Linked DNA regions of Rhinolophus ferrumequinum. The protein of the gene in region 1 interacts with the protein of each later gene in a pairwise test. Links are inferred from orthologs where the notes say so. Each region holds a gene or a part of one and is shown on either strand. Other genes may lie near its edges.

Region 1 (10,879 bases):
CCACGGCCCCGACTCCCCGCCGCCGCCGCCGCTCTCCGACGCCGCCTGGGAAGACTCCGACTCGCCGCCTGGCCGCCCAGAGAATCAAGCGCCTCCACAGTCCGCGCCCCCGTCGCTGAACGCCGCCCTCCTGCAAACCCTGGGGCACCTGGGCGACATCGTGGCCATCCTGGGCCCGCTGCGCGACCAGTTGCTGACCCTGAACCAGCACGTGGAGCAGCTGCGCGGCTCCTTCGACCAGACCGTGTCCCTGGCGGTGGGCTTCATCCTGGGCAGCGCCGCCGCTGAGCGGGGCGTCCTGGCGGACCGGCGTGAGTGAGGCCTGTCCCTTCCGTAGCGCCACGCCCCCCTCGGCCCTGACCCCGTCCCGCTGCCCTCCCCCACACCTAGGTACGTTCAATAAAAAGGTTGTTTTTCGCGATTTAATCCGGTGAATGTGTGCAGGGCCCCTTAGGTAAGAACATCCCCCTGCAGGTAAGGCCCGCAGAGGTCGGAGCCGGTTAAAATGGCCTGGGTTCCTAAGGTGGGGCTGAGAGTACCGGGTGGCCTGTTGTCCGGGTGGGATGGTAACCAGGGCTTTCCCAAGGAGACCAGTCTCCAGGGGGAGGAGCCTCTTGGCCCCTGGAACCTGAGATATTGGGGTCTTCCAGATCTTACCAAACTCGCCGGCCAACACAGACCAGCCACGGGGGCGGGGCAGGCAAGCACTAACTCCACCCTTTCACGCAGCCCTGCTGAGTGGTACAAGGGAGCGCTGGGCTCCACCAGCAGAATGGGGGGCTGGGAATGGGTGGCCCAGGTCTGCCTAATTCTATGGGGGAGGTGTGAGCTGTCTCTGGCCCCCACCATAGGCGCCCAGCGCTGCGCAGGTAGGGTGTTCCCAAAGTCTCACCTTGGCCAGACCAACTCCCGGCCGCTGTCCTGAGCTGAGTCTGGGCAACGGGACTCAGAGGTCTGGAACACACAGGCAGGAGAGCTAAGGCGCACGTAGGGAAGGGGCTGGTTCTGTCCCCAGGGAGGTGACTGACCTGGATGGGCCAGGGTGTTAGGGGCTTGGGCGTCTGAGACTTTAGACTTTGGCTGAGGCCAGGGCCCCTGTAATTTTAAGACTACCAAAATCACTCGGGTAGCATTTTTCAAATCGTAATTGAGGGCCCCACCCCGACCTGTGGGTCTGGCTGAGAGGGAACTGGGTGGGGCTTGTGGGACCCCTCCCCAGGTGGAGGGAGGAAGTAGCCTGAGGCGCCTCACCAGCATAACAATACAAGCCGGGGTCGAGTGGGAGGGGCCCATTTCACCAACTAGGGGCTCATTCAGAGGGACTTAAGTGATTGCCCTGGGCCATGGGCTCAGTAAGGGATGGGCCCTCCCTCCCTGGCCCTCTGGTTCCAACCTTCCTGAGGCCTCAGCAGCCAGTGGGTTGCAGCCCCTCCCCCAGGCCCTTTTCGGGATCTGTGGGTGAAGCGACCCCAGTTGGACCCTCTGCCTGCAAAGTCCCCCATGGGGGCCAGGGCGCTCTCTCCAGACCTAGCTGAGCCTGCCCTTCAGCTGTGTGTTGATGGCAGGACCTGAGGGCTCTGGGAGAGACCAAACCCAAAAAACTGACTCCAAGTGTCACCTCTTACGACACACTGAGGCTGTCTGCTGAAGTCCCGTGTATCTCAGAGCTGCCCAAAGCCAGTTTACAAACATCTCCCCACCCCCCACACAACCTGGAATGTCAGAGCCGCAGGTCGGGGGTCTGAGACAGCAGACCTCATCCCAGCAAACCCGCAATCCCCAGGGGTGGGGACTGGCATTGGTGTGCCCATCACGTCACCGGGAACCCTTGGCCCTCAAAAGGGCTGTTTTGAGGACGGAAAGAAACCACCTAAGGCATCAAGTGTGAGGTATCTGAGGACACCAAAGAAAATCCATCTGCCTTCCTGCCACGTCGACTAGGGGCTGTGTCCCCGGCTTCTTCCTGGGGCGCCCCATTGGGGTAATGAATCCGCACACTCCTTCCTGGACAGCTACAGGTCTGCAGGGGAGAGATGGGGGCTGTGCAGTGCCCTACGCCCGCCGCAGCCCCAGCCCCAGCCCCAGCCCCAGCGCCGCGGCAAGTTTCTCTACCATTTTTACCACTTCCCTTCCTGATGCTGTGCGAAGCCCCAATTGCTTCTCACTGGCCCTACCAGAGACTCCCTGTGCCTGCAGCTCTCATCTGTGGGGCAAGGTGTGTCCCAGTCCTGCTCTGTCATACTGGACACCATAGGCGTGTCTCAGCACGTGAGGTGAACACACCGTGGTGGCACTGTTGTCCCTGGCTCTGACACATCTCCCTGTGCCTGACCAGGAGTGCTGGGCAATGTTTCCAGGAGGGCCTCCTGGGACCACTCTTCAGTGTTCAGATTAGAAGCCTCTTCCGTCTCACTAAGGGACACTGGTCAGGTTCATACCTTTCTCTCTTATTGTGGTAAAATACACAACATACAGTTCACTGCCTTACCCATTTTCAAGTGCATCAAGCACACAGTGATGTGCAGCTGTCACCACCATCATCCCAGACCTCCATCTTCCCACACTGAAACTGTCTCCATTAGACACTCACTGCCCCTCCCCCTGGGAATCCGCACGCCACTTCCTGTCTGAATGTGACTCCTAAGATCCTCCTAAGTGGAATCACACTGTGCTTGTCGTTTGGTGACTGGCTTATTGCACTGTGCACAATGTCCCCGGGTCCCTCTGTGGTGGCCTGTCGGAACGTCATTCCTCTTGAAGGCTGTGTAATGTTTCCATTAGCAGACAACTCAGAAGACAGGAGACACACATGAAAACACATCTGCTCTGGTACCAGCCCTGAAGGGAATGGATGTCGGTGGGAGGCCCAAGGCCCCTGGCGCTTCGGAGAGGAGGTAAGGGGGAGGGAGAGCTCCCACCTCTTGGCCATGTAACTCGTGCTGCTGTGAATGTGGGTGCAAGTACCTGTCCAGGCCCTGCTCTCAGTTGCCTTGGACAAACACCCCGAAGGGGGGTGCTGGTCACCTGGCAGCTCTGTGTTGGGTTTTCTGAGGCCCCCACACTGCCTTCCCGCGGCTGCCCCGTTTCACATCCCGCCCACAGTGCACAGGGTGCCCACCTCTCCACGTTTCCCCAGCCTGTATTTTCTGTCTTTTTGACAGTGGCTGTCCTAGTGGGTGACGCTGGCACCCTTCGGTGGCTGTCTTACGGCATGTACAGTTACAGTGCTCGCTGCCCCCTTGATGACTGGACACCCACCATCCAGTTGTTTGGTGGATCCATCTAGCTCATCTTTATAGCAGGTTCTCACTTCCTGGTGTTAATTCCTGGTGACCAACAACCTTACTCTCTTCTGTGCTGCGTGGAGGCCCATGAAGTGTGCACATCACTGATGTCCCTCACCAGCTCGATGACCAGCAGTGACCATGGTGCAGCTTCAGAGACATGGGCTGGCTTGGTTTTTCCCCTTTATCCCGTGTCCTTTCTGTGCCACACCACTGTGTGTTCAGGACAGTCAGGCCCACACCAAGACCGCACCTGGGTTCTTGTCACCATTTGTCCCATCGAGAGGGGCTGTGGCAGTAGCACGCTCTGGGGTCACTTTGCTTCTGTGTGGGCAGCCAGTGGGCTGGAGCCCAGCTCCCCTCTCCCTTCCCCCTCCCAAAGCACCCGGGGCTTTGGGCCTCCCACCCACATCCGTTCCCTTCAGGGCTGGTACCAGAGCAGATGTGTTTTCACGAGTGTCTCCTGTCTTCTGAGGTGTCTGGTTCACTGCTGATTCTGATAACACCGGGCACACGCATGCTTTGTGTCTGGAGCAGCACACTGCAGCAGACCCTGGGACAGACCCATTCGGGAGCAGCACTGTCCATTGCCACAGCCACGTGTGGTCATTGAGCTCGAAACGTGGCCAGTGCGACTGAGAAACTGGTTTTTAAACCTAGATTAATTTAAATCAGCTTATGAACACACATCATTTAGGACCAGTCAGCAGTCTGTAAGACAGTTAGAGATACAATGGACCTGATTCCACATTTAGTCCTTACGTAAAATTCTATTCTATTCTAGTGTTGTCATTGGTTTAAGGTCCTATCTTCAGAATATTGCCTTTAAATTTACATTTAATTCGATGGCCAAATCCCATTCCTTTCACCAAAGTCTGAGACCTTCCAGTAGTGACCTGAGGCGATTCAGGCCTGATGTCGCTGTCGTCACAGTTGTACAGGCAGGTCTCATGTCTATCTGTTCATCCTTTTTAAAAAGAACACATTCCATTACTGTGCCTTTAAACGGCGTCCAGCATAGCTGGTCCTTAAAGACGTGTGTTCGCTTCCGCTTCCGCACTCCTTTCCTTCAGAGGAGCGTGTTTTCCGGGGCAGAGCCAGCACTGGCCTGAGTGGGTGGCTCCAACGCACTATGCTGGCAGCACCGGCCTAAGCCGGAAGCTGGCAGCTGGCTTAGGGGGACCTGCCATGGGTCGCCCCCCAACAGCACTTCTTCCTCGTCTCGTTTGTCCCTCTGCTAGAGCTCTGGAACCCCCACTTCCCACAGCATGTTTGGCCTCCGGCGCCTTGCCTCGCCTGTGGGAGTGGTGAGGCCCTTCCCATCGCCCACCTGCCGCTGCCAGTCCATCCTTCCAAGGGCGGGATGGAGGTGGGCAGAGGGGGGCAGGGCCCACTCTCCACGTGTCCTGTGGCGGCAGCAGGCAAAGAGGCTCTACCCTGGGGAGAGGGACCTGGGCGCCATAAGAAAGGAGGGACGTGGGAGAGGCGCCCACGCAACGGACAGGGAGACGCCGACAGGTAGACGGAAGTGAGCCCGTCCCCAGGGGCAACCCTTTACAGATTGGGGGGAGGGGATCTACCTAATCACACCTGCAGCCTTAGTAATTCGACACCCGCACCTCCACCCACTAGGTGCTCTCTCCTGAGACTCACCCAGCTAGGGTGGGGTCATGCCCACCTTGCCCCCACACTCACACCTAGGATCTTTCCACAAACAAACAGTTGGGAGACCCAAGGAGGAGGGGTCCAAGGGGACTGTGAAGGGCAAGGCGGCAGGGAGGGGCGTGGCCGTAGCGGAGGGGGAGGAGCCGATCCCGTGAGTGATCCGCGGTGGAGGTGGGGTTGGCGGACGGAGTGAGCGCCGGCGAGAATGGGACGGCCGGAGACTGCAGGCGCCCAGGGCCAGGTGCGGGACGCCGGAAATCCCGTGGTGGGAGGAGTGAGCTTGGAAGCGTGTTGGGGCGGGACTGCTGGGCCTCCGAGTGACAGACGGCACTGAGAGCGTGGGGAGCGCGTCCACCGTTCAACTCTAGGCCCCGCCACCCGCAGGTACAGGTGGGAGGGGACTCCGTCGCCTGCAGGCGCAGGGTTTGGGAGTATGTCGCCCCGACATAGAGGCCCGCGGCCGAGAGCACAGGCCACGCCCGCATGCTATCACGGGGTCTCCCAGGAAGACGGCCTAGGGGCTGCTGCGGAGTAGTAAACCCGGAGTGCGGGTCCCAGAGCCAGGGGAAGGGCAAGGTCCCGGCAGCCCCAAAAGCTGATCCTAAGCCCATTGAGGAAGCTGAGGCCGGGCATGGGTGACAGCTGTCACTGTCTCGAACAGCCGGGTTAGAGGGAGGGACCCAGACTACAGAAGGGGACGGGAGACCCCACTGGACGGGAGCCAGTCAGGTGAGAGGACAGCGTGCCGGAGCCCGTGGCAGGGCTGAAGGGAATGAGGGAGGGACCACTGGGCAGGAAGGGGGCCAGCAGCCTGGAGCTGGAGGGGAGGACTCCGGAAGGAGGGGGGCTATCTGACCTGCAGAGGCGCCGTCACCTTTGGACTCAGGAGAGGTGTTCAGGTGTGTGGGGGGGGCCGGGAATCTGGGAAAGTGAAGGCGGAGGGCCGCTAGAGAGTCCGGGATTAGACAGGAAGTCGCGCAGCACAATTGGGTTGCTGCGGGAGGTGTGGGTATGTGGTCGAGAGGCCAAAGGCCCGGCCCTAAAGACTAGAAATGGAAAGATGCCAAGTGCAGAAGCGGTGCGCATGAACGCCGACATTTCCTAAATGACAGCTTTGGGCGCATAGCTGGGCAATCCCAGGAAATGTGGCTCTTTATCTAGAGGCCTGTTCTGAGCACGTGGAGCTGTCCTGGGGGATACTTCCTTCTGCCAGGTTTGTGAGGCACCCCCAACCTGTCTGTCCCCGGAGGAGCTCTGCGCAGGCCCCCACCGGACGGGCCTCTGTCCCCAGGTAGCAGAACGTCCATGTCGTGTTGGCGCCAGAAGCCTGCCACACCCGCGTCCGGGGCCCCGCGCAGTGAGGGGGGGCGCCCCGCTAATCGCAAGCTGCAGCTCTTACCACACACTCCGCGAGACACGTGGCGAGTGATTCAAATCCCTAGCTTCATCCCGCGGAGTCCAGTGACCGAATGCGGTCGGTGCAGAGGCCGGAGGAACACCCCAGTCAGAGTCAGAGGCGTTGCGGTCAGTCCCCGACCTTTCACCTAGACCACGGGCCAACACGGGCCGGTTCCCGCTGTGCCGGTGGTAGTCCGGCTCCCACATCCCTGGCCCGTCCCTTCCGAGAGGCTGGGGAGGCGGGGCTGGGGTGTTAATCCCAGGGCGAGGCCCGCGGGCCCTTTGATTCCACAGGCTGGGGGCGCGGGGGTGGTCGTCGGTGCTGGGCCCAGACTGGCGCTGGCGCCCCAGGAGCCCAAGCTGCTGACCCAACCGTCTGCACCAAAGCCTCGGCATAGGCTCAGGGGCTGGACCAGCGCCTGCACCTGACTCCGGCCCCGGGGACGCACGCGAACTCCTAGCTGGCATTCTAGGGGTGCTCAGATCCGGGCGGTGGGTTTTTGCCTCGACTGCACCCGGTATGCTTGTGCTGGTCTTGTCCAGGAGACAGATGTGGTCGGCCAAGGTTGGCATAGAGGTCCAGAGGAGGCTGGACCAGCCTGGTTAGAGGGGCAACCACCGCACGGTGTCCACCCGGCTGAGCCTGCTGCCTCCCCCAGAGTACCGGGCCCTGGACGGGACCTGGCCAGTTCAGGAGAGAAGCAGCCACAGGGACAGGGTGACCTCCAGGCACTCCCCTGAAGCTCAGGCTCCATAGTGCCCTGTCACAAAAGTGGCAACTGAGTTACAGTCTGTCCCAGAGGTGGTGAGTCTGTTGGCCTTCCTGCTGGATTCCTCCTGGGAACAGCGCAGGGAGGTGGCCCAGCCCTGAGCCAGCAGACCTCCTCCTCCCTCCTCCTTTGTGTCACCCAAATCTGGAGGCAACTTGTGGCACCGGGACGAAACCCAGAAGAGGGGCTGGGAGTGACGAGACAGAAGGGCCTGTGGGAGCCTGGAGCAGACCCTCCCTGCCATGCCTGGCTTGTAGCAGTCACCTACCAGGAATGTCTGCCTTACATTCCGGCCCAGCCAGGCAGCCTGGACACAGCAGACACTGGTCGAACCCACCCCATCCTGAGAGCAGGATGCCGACTCCCCCAAGTTGAAGCGACCTCTCTCTCAGTTGCACAGTTGTCACCTCAGCACTGCAGACCCACAGGGCAGGTGGGAGAACCAACTAGGGGAGAGAAGATGGTCTGGCACCCCACAGGACAAGGCCCCAGCTTGGGAGCAGAGGTGGGAGGGGGCCATCCTCACCTTCCTGCTGCCTAGGCCAGTCCTGGTGGGGGTGGGGAGAGATGAAAGGATGTAACAAGTCCCCAGCCACCACAGCTCCCTTAACCATTGACCGCAGCCCCGCCCCTCCCCCAGACATCTTGGAGCCGGGGGAGGTGTGAATGGCCTCCTTTGTGCCTCTGAATTGAAGGCAATTAGATGCTACTTATCTGGGGGGATTTGAGCCATCTACGCAAACCCACCTCCCACCCGCTTCTCTGGAGCTTATAAATGCAGCCCTGCCCTGCTAAACCTGAGGCGGATCCAGTGCTCAGCCCGCCCCGCCTGCCACCCAACCCACAGCAGACCCCACGCCTGGCCCCCACCATCCAGTCATGCATCCTTCCTCCACACTGCCCGGTAGCCGAAAGCAGACCTCGAGCTTTGGCTGTGTGGACTGGCTCTCCCAGAGTAGCCATGTGGGCCGCTTGCACACTTCCAGACCTGGTGACGTTTCCTGGGGGGACCTCTCTGTCCCAGCCAGGGTGTCCAGCAGTTGGGAGGCCCCTCAGACCGTGGGCGTGGAGGAGCTGAAGTCCTCAGAAGCGTCTGTGCCAGGGATGTCCACAGCTGGTAGGTCTGGGAGTGTGGGGGGGTCCCTTCCTTCCCAGATTGGGATGGAAGTTGGAGAGAAGGGAACATGCCCCTGCCACATCCCGTGTGCTTGGGCGGGACAAGGGACCCAAGGGCCGGGGTTGGGGTCCCGCCTTACCCTCTGGCAAGTGAGCTTCCCCTCGGAAGCACAAGCCACAATGGGTTTCCCTCCTCACTCTTGGGGCTCCTCCAGCCTCCTCCTAGAGGGGCTGGCCCCCTGCCCCCACCCAGGCCTGCCGCCTGGGTCCCCACGGGGACACTGACGTTAGCACCTTTGTTTGCTTGGTTTTTGCGTCCATAATAGTCCTGGACCCATTTCTACAAGTGTCACAAGGTCGCAGATAAGTATGCCTTAAAGCTTGTGACATCTGCCCAGGTCATGGGGGTGGTTGTGGTCCCCCCCACAAAGCTGGCACCTCAGTTTGGCATCTAGACTTTGGCCAGTCCACAGTCCGCCTGCAGTCCTGCAGGTTTGGTTCAGGGGCAGCCAGGACTCTGCCTGAAGCCACAGCCTCTGCGTTTCTGCATGTGTGAATTTGTGAATTTCTCCGGCTTCGGCCCGTTCATCTCTGGGAGTCTCTGTGGCTCCTAAGCCTTATCTGACCCTTTGTCGTTTGCTGATGGCACTTTCTCGGTTTGTTTTTTACTCTTTGTGACTTAATCATTGGTTTAGGTTTAAAGACAGGCATGGTTGAAGTGGGGGTTGATGTTATCTAAGTTTTCATTTTTAAAAAAGTTTAAATAATCTTTATGGAGTAATTTTGTACTTTGATGAGGTGAATTTTTAAATTTATTCTCTGCAACCAGTAGCCCCCTCCAAAACCCAATCACCCTGCATCAGAGCCCTTGATGCTGACCGCTTAGGCTCCAGCACCCCGGCCCCTCGTCCTTAGGCAGTGTGTGCGCCTCTTGTCTGGTGAACACTTCCAGGTAAGTGTTAAAACTAATATTGTAAAACCTGCTGCCCCTAAAACAACCGAAGGCATCTTGGTCAGACTTGTGTTAAGTGAAGACATCACGCCGGCTGACCTTACCACGTGGGGGTGCTTAGTGCCATCCCTCATCTCCTCATTTAGAAATTAGAAAGTGTTACCGGCGCCCGGGGTTCTTGCGATTTCCCAGGATGGAAATCAGAGAGATTACCACAAGAAATTTCAGGCAAGAGGCAAAGGTTTATTAAGTTTGTGCACAAGGGAACCAATACCGAGAAAGGGAAGGTTCCGGCGGCTCTCGGAGAGAAGTTGGGGCCGGGCTGAAGGGAGCTGGGCGGGGTAAGGCTGTGTACAGGCCTGTGGAGGCGGGGTTTCTTGGCGCCTGCGCAGTGCGGCTACACGCTGCCTGCGTGCCTCTCTTTAGCATCGTAAATTTCCACACCTGGGCGTGATTTTTAATATTTAAATTAGGGAAAGGTCACTTTAGGGATATGGTTGACCTTACTGCGCATGTGCCGTGAAAGGGACAGTCCCTTGTTGCTGCTAATGCGGATCTTTATGGCTTGCCTGCCAAGGCTCCGTGCCCATCGGTGGCCCCCAGGTGGTACCTGAGGGCCGACATTTGTGAAACACCCGGCTCCAGCAGCTGACCTTTCTGACTAACTCAACACTAGGAAGCTGCCTTCCTATTTCAAAAGCAGACTTACCAGACACACAGTAGATCGTGACAGCCTGGTTCATGGTGACCAAGGCTGCTTTCCCAGCCCCTCAGGCCTTTGCATCGAATGGGTTCCACCTCACTGCCACCCAGCCCTCACCTGGTGAGTGAAGGGAGTTCCTTGTCTGCAGGCAAAAGAAACTGCTTTCTGGGTGGATGTGGGGCTGGTGGAGGTCACCCTTCAGGAAGGGACCAGGTGCTCTGGGGCAGCGGGTGAAGGGTCTGTGCCAGAACTGCTGTTCCATCCCTGTCATCCTTCTGCAATAGCGACGTCCCTGCCAGTGTCCTGAACCACGTCTCCGGACCAGATTCCACACTTGTCTGGGAGGTGGGGCTATCACCTTGACTGACAGTTGTGCCAACACCTAGTGGGACTGTAGAGCAGTGGAGGCTGTTTCTAAAAATGAGGCAAGGGAAGGCGGTCTGCTCTTCCTGACACCCCAGTCATATTTCTTATCTCTGTGCCTGCCATCTGCAGTCACAGAGCTCTGGCACCTGCCAAGTGAGGGCCACGGGTCATGTGGGCCGCACCGGTAGCCAAATGGATTCAGCGCCCTTCTGTCCTCTCCCAGGGTTGAGCAAGGAGGCGGACAGCACGCGGCCCCCGCGTGTCCGGACAGCCTTCACGGCCCAGCAGGTCAGCACCTTGGAGAGCTCCTTCCAGCACCAGCGCTACCTGGGCCCCCTGGAGCGCCGGAGGCTGGCCCAGAAGATGCAGCTGTCCGAGGCGCAGGTGAGGCCCCTGGGCCATACGGGCCACGCTGGGGTAGGGCAATGGTCTGTTGTCCCCCTCACGCTGATCTTGTTTACCCCACAGATAAAAACCTGGTTTCAGAATCGCCGGATGAAACACAAACGCCAACTTCAGGACTCGCAGCCGAACGCCCCTCTCCCTGGAGCTCTCTACACTCCCCTGGCTTTCTGCCCACCATCCCCTGTTCTGGGCAGCGGCCTGCAGCTGCTGTACCCTTGGG
Region 2 (10,464 bases), on another chromosome or scaffold:
ACCTTTAGCTGCTGGTCCTTGTGGGCGTCCCTGACACAGGGCTCTAGGTGCTCCTCCCCGCACCCCCACCCCCCACCAGGAACCCCACTACCTTATTTAAGTCCCAGGGTCCCAGCTGGCTGTTAGACTGTGGGGCCTGGTGCTTCCCCCTCTTCACCCCCATAAACTTTAGATAATCCTTCCTTTCAGGGGAAAGACCAAATGGAGCTCTTAACCTTGCTTAGCCAAGCACCTGCAAACCCAACAGGAGATAGAGTCACATTTAGGGAGCAAACCTGGAGGAGCTGGGATTCTGGTATCGAAAGAACTCCAAAGAATGCCCTGCCTAGGAAAGCTCTGCCTCCAAGGGGTTGGCTTTCTGGCCAGAGGCGGGCTGGCTGGAGGGTGGAAGGGGCTGCATGCCCTTAAAAGCAAAACAGGACAAAACCCGGCTGCTCCTGCTTGGCGCCACTATTTATCCCTGCCCAGTCTGCCAGACCCTGCTGGGTCTCCCCATCTTTGGAGAACACCCTGGCCTTGCTCAGGTACTGGGTGGCTCTCTCAAGGGGTGAGGGCTCAAGGCTGGGAGCTTAGCATGTTTCCTTTCTTTTGTCACCTAAGTGACCTTGACCACGCAGGTAGCCCTGTGTAGATGAAGGAGAGGAGGTGACGGGACAGCCACATGGGTTAAGCTTCCTGCCAGGGAGAGGCCAGGGTGTGGAGGAGTCCGGGGTGGAGGGCACGCAGCACGTTGCCGAATGCACACATAGATTCCTGCAGGTTTGGGGGCCAGTTGAGTGTGTGGCCAGGATATGTCCCCACATGCCTGAGTGTGACTCTGTGTACCCGAGCATGTGTTGTTTCTACATGCATGTCTGCTTCTAGAAAGGTGTGCGAGTACCGCGCGTAGCTGTACATGGTGTGCACGTGCATGTGTGTGCTGCTGGCTACGTACACTGTTGCTTTGTGCAGTCACCCAAAATACGTGCACCGACCTTGTACTTCTAAGCTTCCTACACAAGTATATAGTAGTTACTGATGTACCCACATTTATTTCCGGAGTGGGGTCACGCTGGTGGCGTCAAAATCCGTTGACTTTGGGTTGAGTTGCCTGGGGTTGCCAAGCAACCCTGTGCTCCGGTGGGTGTCGAATGTTCCCCTGCAGCCCAGACCAGGCCAAGCCAAGGAGAGGGGCCTTCCTTGGGGGGGCCTTCCAGTGAGTCCTCTGGCCTGGAGCCTCAGGCTGGCCTTTCCGGAGCGCCTGGGTATCCTGGGGCGAGCTCCTCCTTCGCGCTCAGTGGGCTCGGCGCTGGCTGGAGGTTTCGCTTCCTGCGAAGGCTGGCAGAGCCCCGGCTGGCGCCCGGCGCCAAAGGCGCACACCGAAGGGCCAAGGTCAGGCGGCCGGGTTGCACAGGGAAGAGAGGAGCTGGGCCTGGGGGAACAGGATTTCCTCGCCTCCTGGGCGCAGCCGCTCCGGGCCTGGCCGCACAAGGCCCCCTTTGTGGAGGGCCCGGCTCCTGGGCAGACCCGAGTCAGCGAACAATAGCGCAATGTTGCCGCCCGCCCGGCCAGGCTTTTCGGGCTACACCGCGGCCGCCGAAGGCCAGGAAACCGGGTGGCGCTTTTTTATAGTCACAAATATAAAATCGGGGCTTTCTCCCCTTTCGCTCGCCCCCTACCCCAACGCCGATAGAAAGCAGATAAATTTATGAAGGGCGAGCTAAGAGAATAATTACAGAGTGAAGGCCGTTAAATTTTATTTCCAGTCCCAAAGGCAAAACCTGCGATTTTATTGCAAACATCTGGAAGGACCGAGAGGAGGGCACGCTGCTGGTTTAAAATAAAAACAAAAGATTTTATTTCGCGAAAACAAGAAAACATCATTAAAGACCCTTTCGCCCCCACGGACTTTTATTTTTTTAAAGTGTGAGGGGGTGGTTGAATAGTCAACGACGCACGACGGTCCCGCAGCTCCCGGCGACTCGAGATACGGTCTACAGGAGTGGACCCGCGGGCTGGTATTGCGCAGGCGTTTCCAGAAATCAGCTCCCTCCCACGCCCACCCGAGGGCTCCAGGCCAGTTAAGCCGCCCCATAACCGGGCGCCAATTTGGGAAAAGAAGTGAAAAGTGGGTACGTTGGCCTCACATTCCCCGAAGATTCGATCACAGCGATACTAAGACCTCAAGTCTGTCCAGCCTCCCACCGATTATCTTGTCTGCCTTGCTCCCTCGGTTATAAAATATTTAGGACCCCTTCATCCTGCGGACAGGGAAACTGAGGCACAGGCCATGAACTGATTCGCCTGAGGTCACAGTTTAGAGTGGACAGGGACCTGGTTGCCAGGCTCCACCTGCCTTGGACTCCCCAGTGTTTCCTCCCACACTGTAGTCGTCTCATCATGTTATGTACCTGCCTGGTCAGGCCAAATTCGTTGTCATTCCTAAGCCCCCCACCGGGTGTCCTGCCTGCGTGTTCAAGGGCGGCCTAACACGACCTGCTGGTCAACCAACTACTATTTTAAACATTGTTTTCAGTTACTCGAAGCTGCAAAATCACAGCGTTTGGGGGATTCCCTAAGTGTTGGGGTATTGGCAGTGGTGGTATTTCAGGTGGTTAGTGTGGAAAAACAGAAGGAAAGGACAGATATGTGGAGCGTACCTAGGGACCCCTTTCTAGGGCGCTTGTTCCTAGGCTGCAGAACTGTCTCGTCTTAGGAAAATTAAGACACGGTCATGGCCAGTTTTAGGTGAGCAGTCACTGTGCCAGCCTTCCTTTCTTGGCTTTCCAGCTGGTGGAGGCTAGGCGTGGCCACTCAATCCCCTGATGTCCCTACAGGTGGTCAGTGAGTTCCTCTTCTCCCCCTCCCGCCTCCCAGATCCCCCCTGACTTCTCAGGTGCTTAAAAATCACTTGGGTGGGGGCGGGGGTCCTGCAGGGGGTAAGGCGGGGCCTCCAGCTTGATCCTTGTCAATCAGCTTCGGGGCTGGAATAGACCTTAAATGCTTGCACCACCTCCACATGTCGCCCAGGATCCTAGGCTGTGGCTGGCAAACCTGGGGATTGCCTCAGGAATTAGCCTCATAAGTGGGGGACCCCACTCTTAGTCCTGAAAGCTAAAGGAGAGATAAACTGGCGTAACAGGAGATTTTGAAAGCCTTTTGATGTAATAAGTGGAAGGAAAATGCATCCCATACTCCCAGATTCTTACATTTAATTCCCCCAACCCTCTTTTTCTTCTTCTCCCCAATTGCATAAAATTACACACCAAAGTCACAGACATTAAACCCTCCTGCTTAATCTTTCTCCAGACCTCCTTCCCTTCAGCACAGGCCCACACCAAGGAGTGCAGGTCACTGGGGGAAAACAATGCAGATTGACCTCTAGTCACAAAAAAGAAAATGTCCTATTTTCACAACTGTTCTGAACCAGCCTGGCTTCGTTAACGTCCGATTTGTCCTAATGGCCTAACCTACTTTTCTAGGATATGTGTAGGTACAGGATGAGGGTGGCGACAACCTCTGTGTAACCTGTAGGAAGGGAGCAGGCGCTCCTCCAAGTACTCTCTGCTGAGCACATGCTTGGGGTGAGGTGCAGATGTCCGCCCTTGAAGGCTTTGCTCACTTCTCTTTGTAGGTCTACCGACACCTAGGAAGTGCAGGCCTTCTGGGTCTGCATGTAGGTCCTCTATCTGAGAAACTTGCATGGCCTCAGGGAGGGTGTGTGGCCTATGGTGCGTCTACTGTTCAATCCAAACCAGGTATGTGCGAGAAGGCCAACGCAAGTGGCTGCCAGAGGGAGATGCAAGAGACAGGCTACGGGGGAGGAGGAAAACGCTGAGAAAGGACAGAGGCCAGCCCCCTCGCTACCCTGCTGGGCCTGGTCCGGGAAGGCTCCAGCGCAGGCAGTGACACCACCACTGGGAGCTGAAAGAGAGGTCTGAGCAGCGGGGAAGGTAACTGTGCCCCTGGCTGGCCATGTCTCCAGCTCCTTTGCTGAAGCCTCATGCTTGTGAATGCGTGGTCACCGTGGGCAGCGGCTCCGGGAAGCAATACCCAGTGGTGACTGAGGTGGGAGTCATGGCACCATGTCACCCTGGTGCCCGCAGTTTGCTAGGCAGTGTGGCGGGAGGTGCGGAGGGGCTCAGCAGGCCACTTCCAGATCCCAGGGTTCTTGGGGACCCCCAAGCCTGAGAGGCAGGCTCCTGGAAGGCCCAGGAGGCCGAGCCCGGCTGGAACACACTTATCCAGGAGTCTTTCCATTATTCTTTCTGCATTTGCTGGGCTGCTAGCTTCTTGTCCTAGCGGCTGGAGCCCAATATGAGGGGCCTACAAAAGTGGCTTTTCTGTTTTTGCTCTCCTCCTAAGAGGCCCAAGTACATGCACCACCCTTGACTGTTGCCTCCAGGACTAGAGTACTTCCAACTACAACAGCAAGGACTGGATTTTCCCAGGTCCGTCAGTGGTCAGGAGGGGAATGTGACATTTTTGAGGCCTCACAGGCCCTCCCTTCTTGCCCCAGGGTGGGAGGACCGCTGGACGCTCCTTCTAGGGGGGTCCGTGACACGCCTCTTGGGCCCCTCTGCCCTAGGCTGGCTAAGGCCTGGCTCTCCGCGAGACTTGTCTGCTGGGCCTCTCGTCGGTCACTGACACCCAGGAGCTGGCTCTTTCCTGCCCCTTTGCTCAGGGATAGAAGCGTCTGGACCAGGGCGTTGGGACGGGACGATCAGTCTGTGGCGAGGCCGTGGTCCATGAAACCCGAGAGCTTTTCCCAGCTCGGTAGGATCCACTTCTCGGCCCCTCTGAACTTGCTCTGGGCTGGGCCCGGGTGTCGTGCGGCCCGCGACCAGTAGTGCAACCTGGGAAGGGGTATGGGAAATCAGAATGGCCAGAAGTGTTGGATTTTGAGTCCTTTAGAAATCTCTGGCGACCGCACTGTCTTGATTTTTTTTTTTTTAAAGCCTAGAGGGAGGATCAGTGGGGCGGGGAGAGCCGGGCTCCCGAGGTGATCGATTCGAAGGGAATTTTGAAAAAGCTTCTTCTACTCTGTCCAAGTTCCTGGTTGCTCTCGCCCAGCCGGTCGCCGAGGGTTCTCCAGAACAAGCGCCCCGAGCGGGCGCAGCTCGGCTCAGCATCCGCGCGGAAGGAAGGGAAGGGCAGCATTTGCTGCTTGCGGGCCCAGTCGGCATCCGCCTGCCGAGCGCGCGGTAAGCCCGGCGCTCCACCGGCGGCCTCCGGCTTTGAGGGGCCTACGTCTCCTTCTCCACCAGGTAGAGCTGGAAGGAGGAAACAATCGTTAGATTTTGAATTACAAGATTCTGGATAGTGATGGGGCTTTTTTTGGTTTGTTTCTTTCGTTTTGCGTTAACCAGAGTTGTTAAGAAATCCTGCAACAGGAAAATAAGAACCTGTGTGACGAAATCCGCGTGGAACCAGCAGATCTCAAAGCATCTGGGGACAGGCGCGAGATGATCAGAGTAGTTTTCTGGTGTTTTGGACAGGTTGACATTTTGTCCGAGCCCCCAGATTCCAGATCTGTAATTCAAATGACTCTGGGCTTGGAGCATCTGTGAGACCTAGCGGATTTGGGAGGAAAAGGTACGGATTTGGGGCTGGTAGGAGTTTGTAACGGCACACCTCGACCTCGATTTCGGCGCCCCCCTCCCCCCCAGGGCGAACCCACGGGACACCGGGAAGCCAGGGGTTAAAGCTGGCCCAGGAGCACCCCGAGCCGACGGGCTCTGAGCCCTGGCCCGAGCCTCAGTCTCTCCCCTCTGCTCATTGGTCCGCGCTCTCAGGGTTTCTCCTGTTCCTTCCTCGCCATTGGTCGGGGGCTGGCTTTTTTCCCCCTCAGTCTTTCTCTTCCTCCCCCTCCCTCTCCCTCGCCCCACGGACAGGAGCGCACCGCCTGCCCCCAGCTCCTCGGGAAGGGAGGAATTTAGAAAAAAAGTTTCCCAGAAGTTTGGATCAGAGGAAGGACGGGAAGACCAAGAGAGGAAGAGGGAGAGGGAGGAGAGAAAGGGAGAGGGAGGAGAGAGAGAGAATAAAAAAAGATGAAGTCCAGTCTGTATAGCCTGTGAGCGCCTGCCCGGGTGGGTGGGAAGCAGGACGCGGGCGCTCATGCAGCGAGCCGGCGTTGCTCCCGGCGCTCATTCGTAGCCGCAGGGGCAGCTAGGGGCGCCGGTCCCAGCCGGCGGCGGAGGGCGGGGGAGGGCTCAGGGGGAGGTGCAGAGGACCCGCTGAGCCGCCGCCTTTCCCGGGCCCGGCCCGGCGGGCGCTCGGAGCGTGAGGGCGCGGGCTGCTCCCTCAGTAGCGGGGCGAGCGGGGACCCGGGTGCGGGCGGCTAAGATGAGTGAAAGGAGAAGATCTGCAGTCGCCCTGAGCTCGCGAGCACATGCCTTCTCCGTTGAAGCCTTGATCGGCTCAAATAAAAAGCGGAAACTGCGAGACTGGGAGGAGAAGGGGCTGGACCTGTCCATGGAGGCGCTGAGCCCCGCGGGCCCACTCGGAGACACCGAGGACGCGGCCGCACACGGCCTGGAGCCTCACCCGGGTGAGTGCATAGGGCCAGACCGCGGGAGGCGGGCGGCCAGCCGGCGGGCAGTGGTGAGGAGGGAGGCCCTGGCCGCTGACGCCCTGCCCCGCTCCAACGCGGGTTCCTTTTTGCGCAAATGCCTTGAGCCTCCCCCAAATTCGCCGGAACCAATTTGAGGGCACTGGCCTACGCCTTGCATTCTCGTCGCCATCCTCAAGCAAGGAGGCCTCCCTGCTCGCATCTCCTCCTCTGGGAGCAGAGCTCAGTGTTCCTGGTGCCCAGAGCTGTGGGGCTGCAGGGCCCTAGGTTTAGGAGGGGCGCCGATCGCAGGCAAGGACCGGAGCGCCTAGGGGCTGGGACTCGCTTCTGAGAGCTCAGCACACCCGGCGCGGAATTCTTGGCTTGACACCTTCGTTTCGGGAAATGCCCGGTTTATCCCATTTAGGTTTCAACATAGGCCCTCGCCTCCGGCCCCCCCCCCCCGACTGTTCTGGGACTCAAGTTGTTGAATTTTCCCTCCTCTGTGAGGAGAGGGCATAATTATATTTCTACGTTGTTGGCGTTTATGGAAAGAGGAACGTATGTCAGACCCCTTTACCCTGCGCCCTGGGTCACTCTTCACGGCCCACACACACCTCTGTGTATTTGGGAATAGAGGTACGATTAATTTGTGTCTCGGATCTGTGCACATTACACGCACACAACACGTAAAACATGGGGCGGGTGTCAATGTCTGTATTTGAACAGAATCCTGGGGGTGGGGGACAACTTAACGTTTTGTATTAGGTGCCAAGATTTCAACTGTGCAAAACAGCCCCGGGGAACAGCTGTGGTCGGAAGAATCCTGCTCGGGCGCTCACCCTCATACACACACGCAACGTTCGCAACTTCAGAAACGTTCCAGCCAGGACTTCTAAAACTATTCTGGAGGTGCTCCTTCTGACCCGGCTAGGGCTGGGGAGTAAACCAGGGTCAGCGAGCCGGCCCTCACAGGATGGGGGAAGCTGTGGGCCCAGGAGCTTGGGGGCTGGAAAACTGGCCGTCCACAGGAGGGACAGCTGTCGCTTACATTCTCTCTTTCGGCAGTGACAGTTCAATTTCCATGCTCCTGAGGCTAATAATAACGCGATTAGCGGGTGACCTGCAGAGACCGAGTTTTATGAATTCTCCGTGTTCTCGTGGCCCGTTATGGTATTTGGGTTTAGTGCTGGGGAATTATTTTTATTAGTCGATGAAAAGAAAATGAAAAGGAGATTTATTTCGCCCACTCAAGTCTTCCCCTGTACTTGGACACGGGTGCCTGTCCACGCGGAACCCTGTGTGGGCAATCCAGAAAGGAACGTGTGGCTAATGTGTAATCTCTGGCCAGACCCTATTTCCTCACCGCATTTATTTGTTGTCAAAATCTCGCTTGGGCCTTCACACAGTTTAGTGGAAGTTCTTTCAGGCCTTACGACAACTTGGGAGGTTAGTTTATTTTACTTTTCCGACAGTGGAAAAGGCAGAAGTTATTTAACTGCGCGTGGCAGACGCCCCGTTCCGGGTAATTTTCTCTAGGGAGTGGGGCCAGGTCGCCCGGAGCCGGCCTAGGGTCGCATGTTCAAAAGGACCAACATAATCCGGCGGGGTCATAATCAGAGACTCAGCTCGAAGTTTTCTTTCCGCCGTTCTCAGCCATCAGCGAGGGGAGAAAAGTGAGGGCTTGGGGCAAGGAGAGACCAGTCCGGGGACGTGAACGTGAGGACCTGGTGTCCAGAATGCGGTTCCCTCGCTCCCGCAGCTCCCGCGGGATGGGGGTAGAGGGTGACGACCTAACATCGCACTTTACTAACAGTTCCCACTACCTTTATCACGTTTTCAAAAAAGAAAAAGATGGGCGTTTGGATTTAGAGAAAACGAAATATGTCTGTGAGGCAAAGGTCCGGGAGGAAGAAGAAGCCGGAAACCGAGAGTACTCGCGGTCCTTCTGCGGAGCGGGGCTCCGGGCGGAGACTGGCTGCGTCGTGGGCCGCCGGGACTCCAACTTGGAGATCTGGTCCCCTTGGAGATCTCCAAGTTGGAGACCCGCAGTGGCCAAGGCTTTCTTAGAAACCGGACGTGGGATAAGGAAAGATCTTTCAGAAAAAGGGCTCGCGCGCGGCGTGGAGACTCGGCAGTCCGAGGAGCGGAGGAGGCGGAGCTGCGGCCCCGGCTGCGCCCGGGTGATAGCGGAAGGCACGGCCAGGGCTTCGGGTCCCCTGTAGGCCTTTCTTTTTGTCTCTCATACAGCGCCCAGACGCGCGCCTGCACACACACACACACACACACACACACACACACACAGAGCCACATTTAAAGGTGTGTATATGGTGGTGGAGGTGGGAGATGGGGCACTGGCGACTCCATTGTGACCGGGCCACGTCTTTGCCCTGCTGCTGGGCCTCACAATTTTGTTTAAACTCTCTTCTCCCGATTAGGACGGAGGAGGGCTGGACCGGCTGCCTGGCTCAAGCGCCCTAGGCCGATAAATAGTCAGGAACAGAAAACAAAACCAAAACACAACAAAAGCAAAATTTCCACAGAGCTGGGGAAGGATTAAACGCGCGTGCCCATACGCAGGACACTTGCCCAGCAGACTGTTACTTGTCATTCTTTGATACCATCTGGTACCATCCCCTCTCTCTGATTGGTACCATCGTTTTCCATCCTCCCTGTCCGAGCCTCAAAATCTCGGGATCCTCAGACAAACCAAGGGTCCGAATTAATTTCACTTTTATTCAAAGACGTGGCCTTTTGCTTTTTCGCAGCCCGTTTTTCTTTCCGCGTCCGGATAGAGCTGGCTTTAGTTGGCGCCGAGCGCTCGCAGCCTGGGGCACCAACCTGCGGCAGCGGGGGACCAGCCCGGCCTGCGCGTTGTAGGCACACACAGCAGAGGACACACAGTATGTATTTCAAAAATTTCCACGGAGCCTAGTGGTCCCGAAAACCCCCGGAGGCCGTTAGGGCCTTGGAGAAGGGCCTGCGAGGTACTCTCATTACTCCCGGGCCTTTTGGAGAAGCCGCCAGGACTCGGCCGCTGAGGGCTGGGGAGGGTCTCAAAACTCATCTCGGAAGAACCTGGCTCTCTGGCCTGTTCGCCCCCGCCAATCCCCCAGCAGCAACAGAGGAAATTTTCGCCGGGAACAGCTGCTCCGGCTGCGGCGGCTTGGAAGTATATTTCAGGCACGCGGCGGCGCCATCGTCGCTTGCACCGCAACCCCTGCTCCACCCGGCTCCCCAGCTCGGGTTTGGGCCTTTCCCGCCCAAATCCACAGCCGAGGGCTGCCGAGGCCGGGTCTCCCGCAGAGAGAAATAATTTAAACCTTCTGCGGGGGGTGATTTCCCCCTCCAGAACCCGCGGGCTTGAGCCTTGCATCCGCCGCGCTCAGGCGGCCTAGGCGCTGGCGATGCACGCGGGTGGGCACACAAAGCCGCGCACACAAGAACGCGCGGGTAGATCGCCACTCAGCGCACACGTGCACACACGTCAGGCACTCACATTGCCCCGTGCACACGTCTGTCTGCGCAACCCCTAGTGAAATGTCACCAGAAAAGCTCTCTCAGTGCCCCAGGGCACTTTCTTTCAAATTGTCGAGATCATCTGGTCACGAGAATTAATATGCCAGTTTATGGCTTGTTTGCTCCGAGTAGAGCCCCAAGATTTGAATCCCCAACCACTCCTCCACTTATCCCCAACCCCCAATAGGGAAACACAGGGTCAAAACGGAGGAAGTGACTCTCTTCCCTGACGTTTAAGTAATGGAGAAAAAATTGGTGAATTCGAAGCCAGTAGAGAGAATGTGCTTGTTCGGGGCAAGCACCAACCTGGGCGCAGGTCAGGGCTGGGACCGCAGTGCAAGGGTGTGTGGCACGCGGGGCGCGACGCCCAGGGGTTTGCCCCGGATAGAGTCCCGGGTGAGGAACTCTGGTTCCCC

Evidence for each region.
Region 2: the proteins of VENTX (region 1) and TBX15 interact in binary tests that used the Homo sapiens proteins (3 or more experiments, as listed by UniProt). The two-hybrid records come from large-scale screens. The link is inferred for Rhinolophus ferrumequinum from reciprocal best matches to the Homo sapiens genes VENTX and TBX15.

What each region holds. Positions count from the first base shown.
Region 1 is NC_046299.1:300,373-311,251, reverse strand, and holds the start of VENTX (homeobox protein VENTX), read left to right. Parts: upstream 1-6,468; 5' UTR 6,469-6,473; intron 6,474-7,509; 5' UTR 7,510-7,550; intron 7,551-8,141; 5' UTR 8,142-8,221; coding exon 8,222-8,234; intron 8,235-10,477; coding exon 10,478-10,638; intron 10,639-10,722; coding exon 10,723-10,879. Other genes in the region: UTF1 (undifferentiated embryonic cell transcription factor 1), read left to right, coding at 1-319. UniProt on the Homo sapiens protein: May be involved in ventralization.
Region 2 is NC_046305.1:48,464,910-48,475,373, reverse strand, and holds the start of TBX15 (T-box transcription factor TBX15), read left to right. Parts: upstream 1-5,867; 5' UTR 5,868-6,324; coding exon 6,325-6,529; intron 6,530-10,464. UniProt on the Homo sapiens protein: Probable transcriptional regulator involved in the development of the skeleton of the limb, vertebral column and head. Acts by controlling the number of mesenchymal precursor cells and chondrocytes.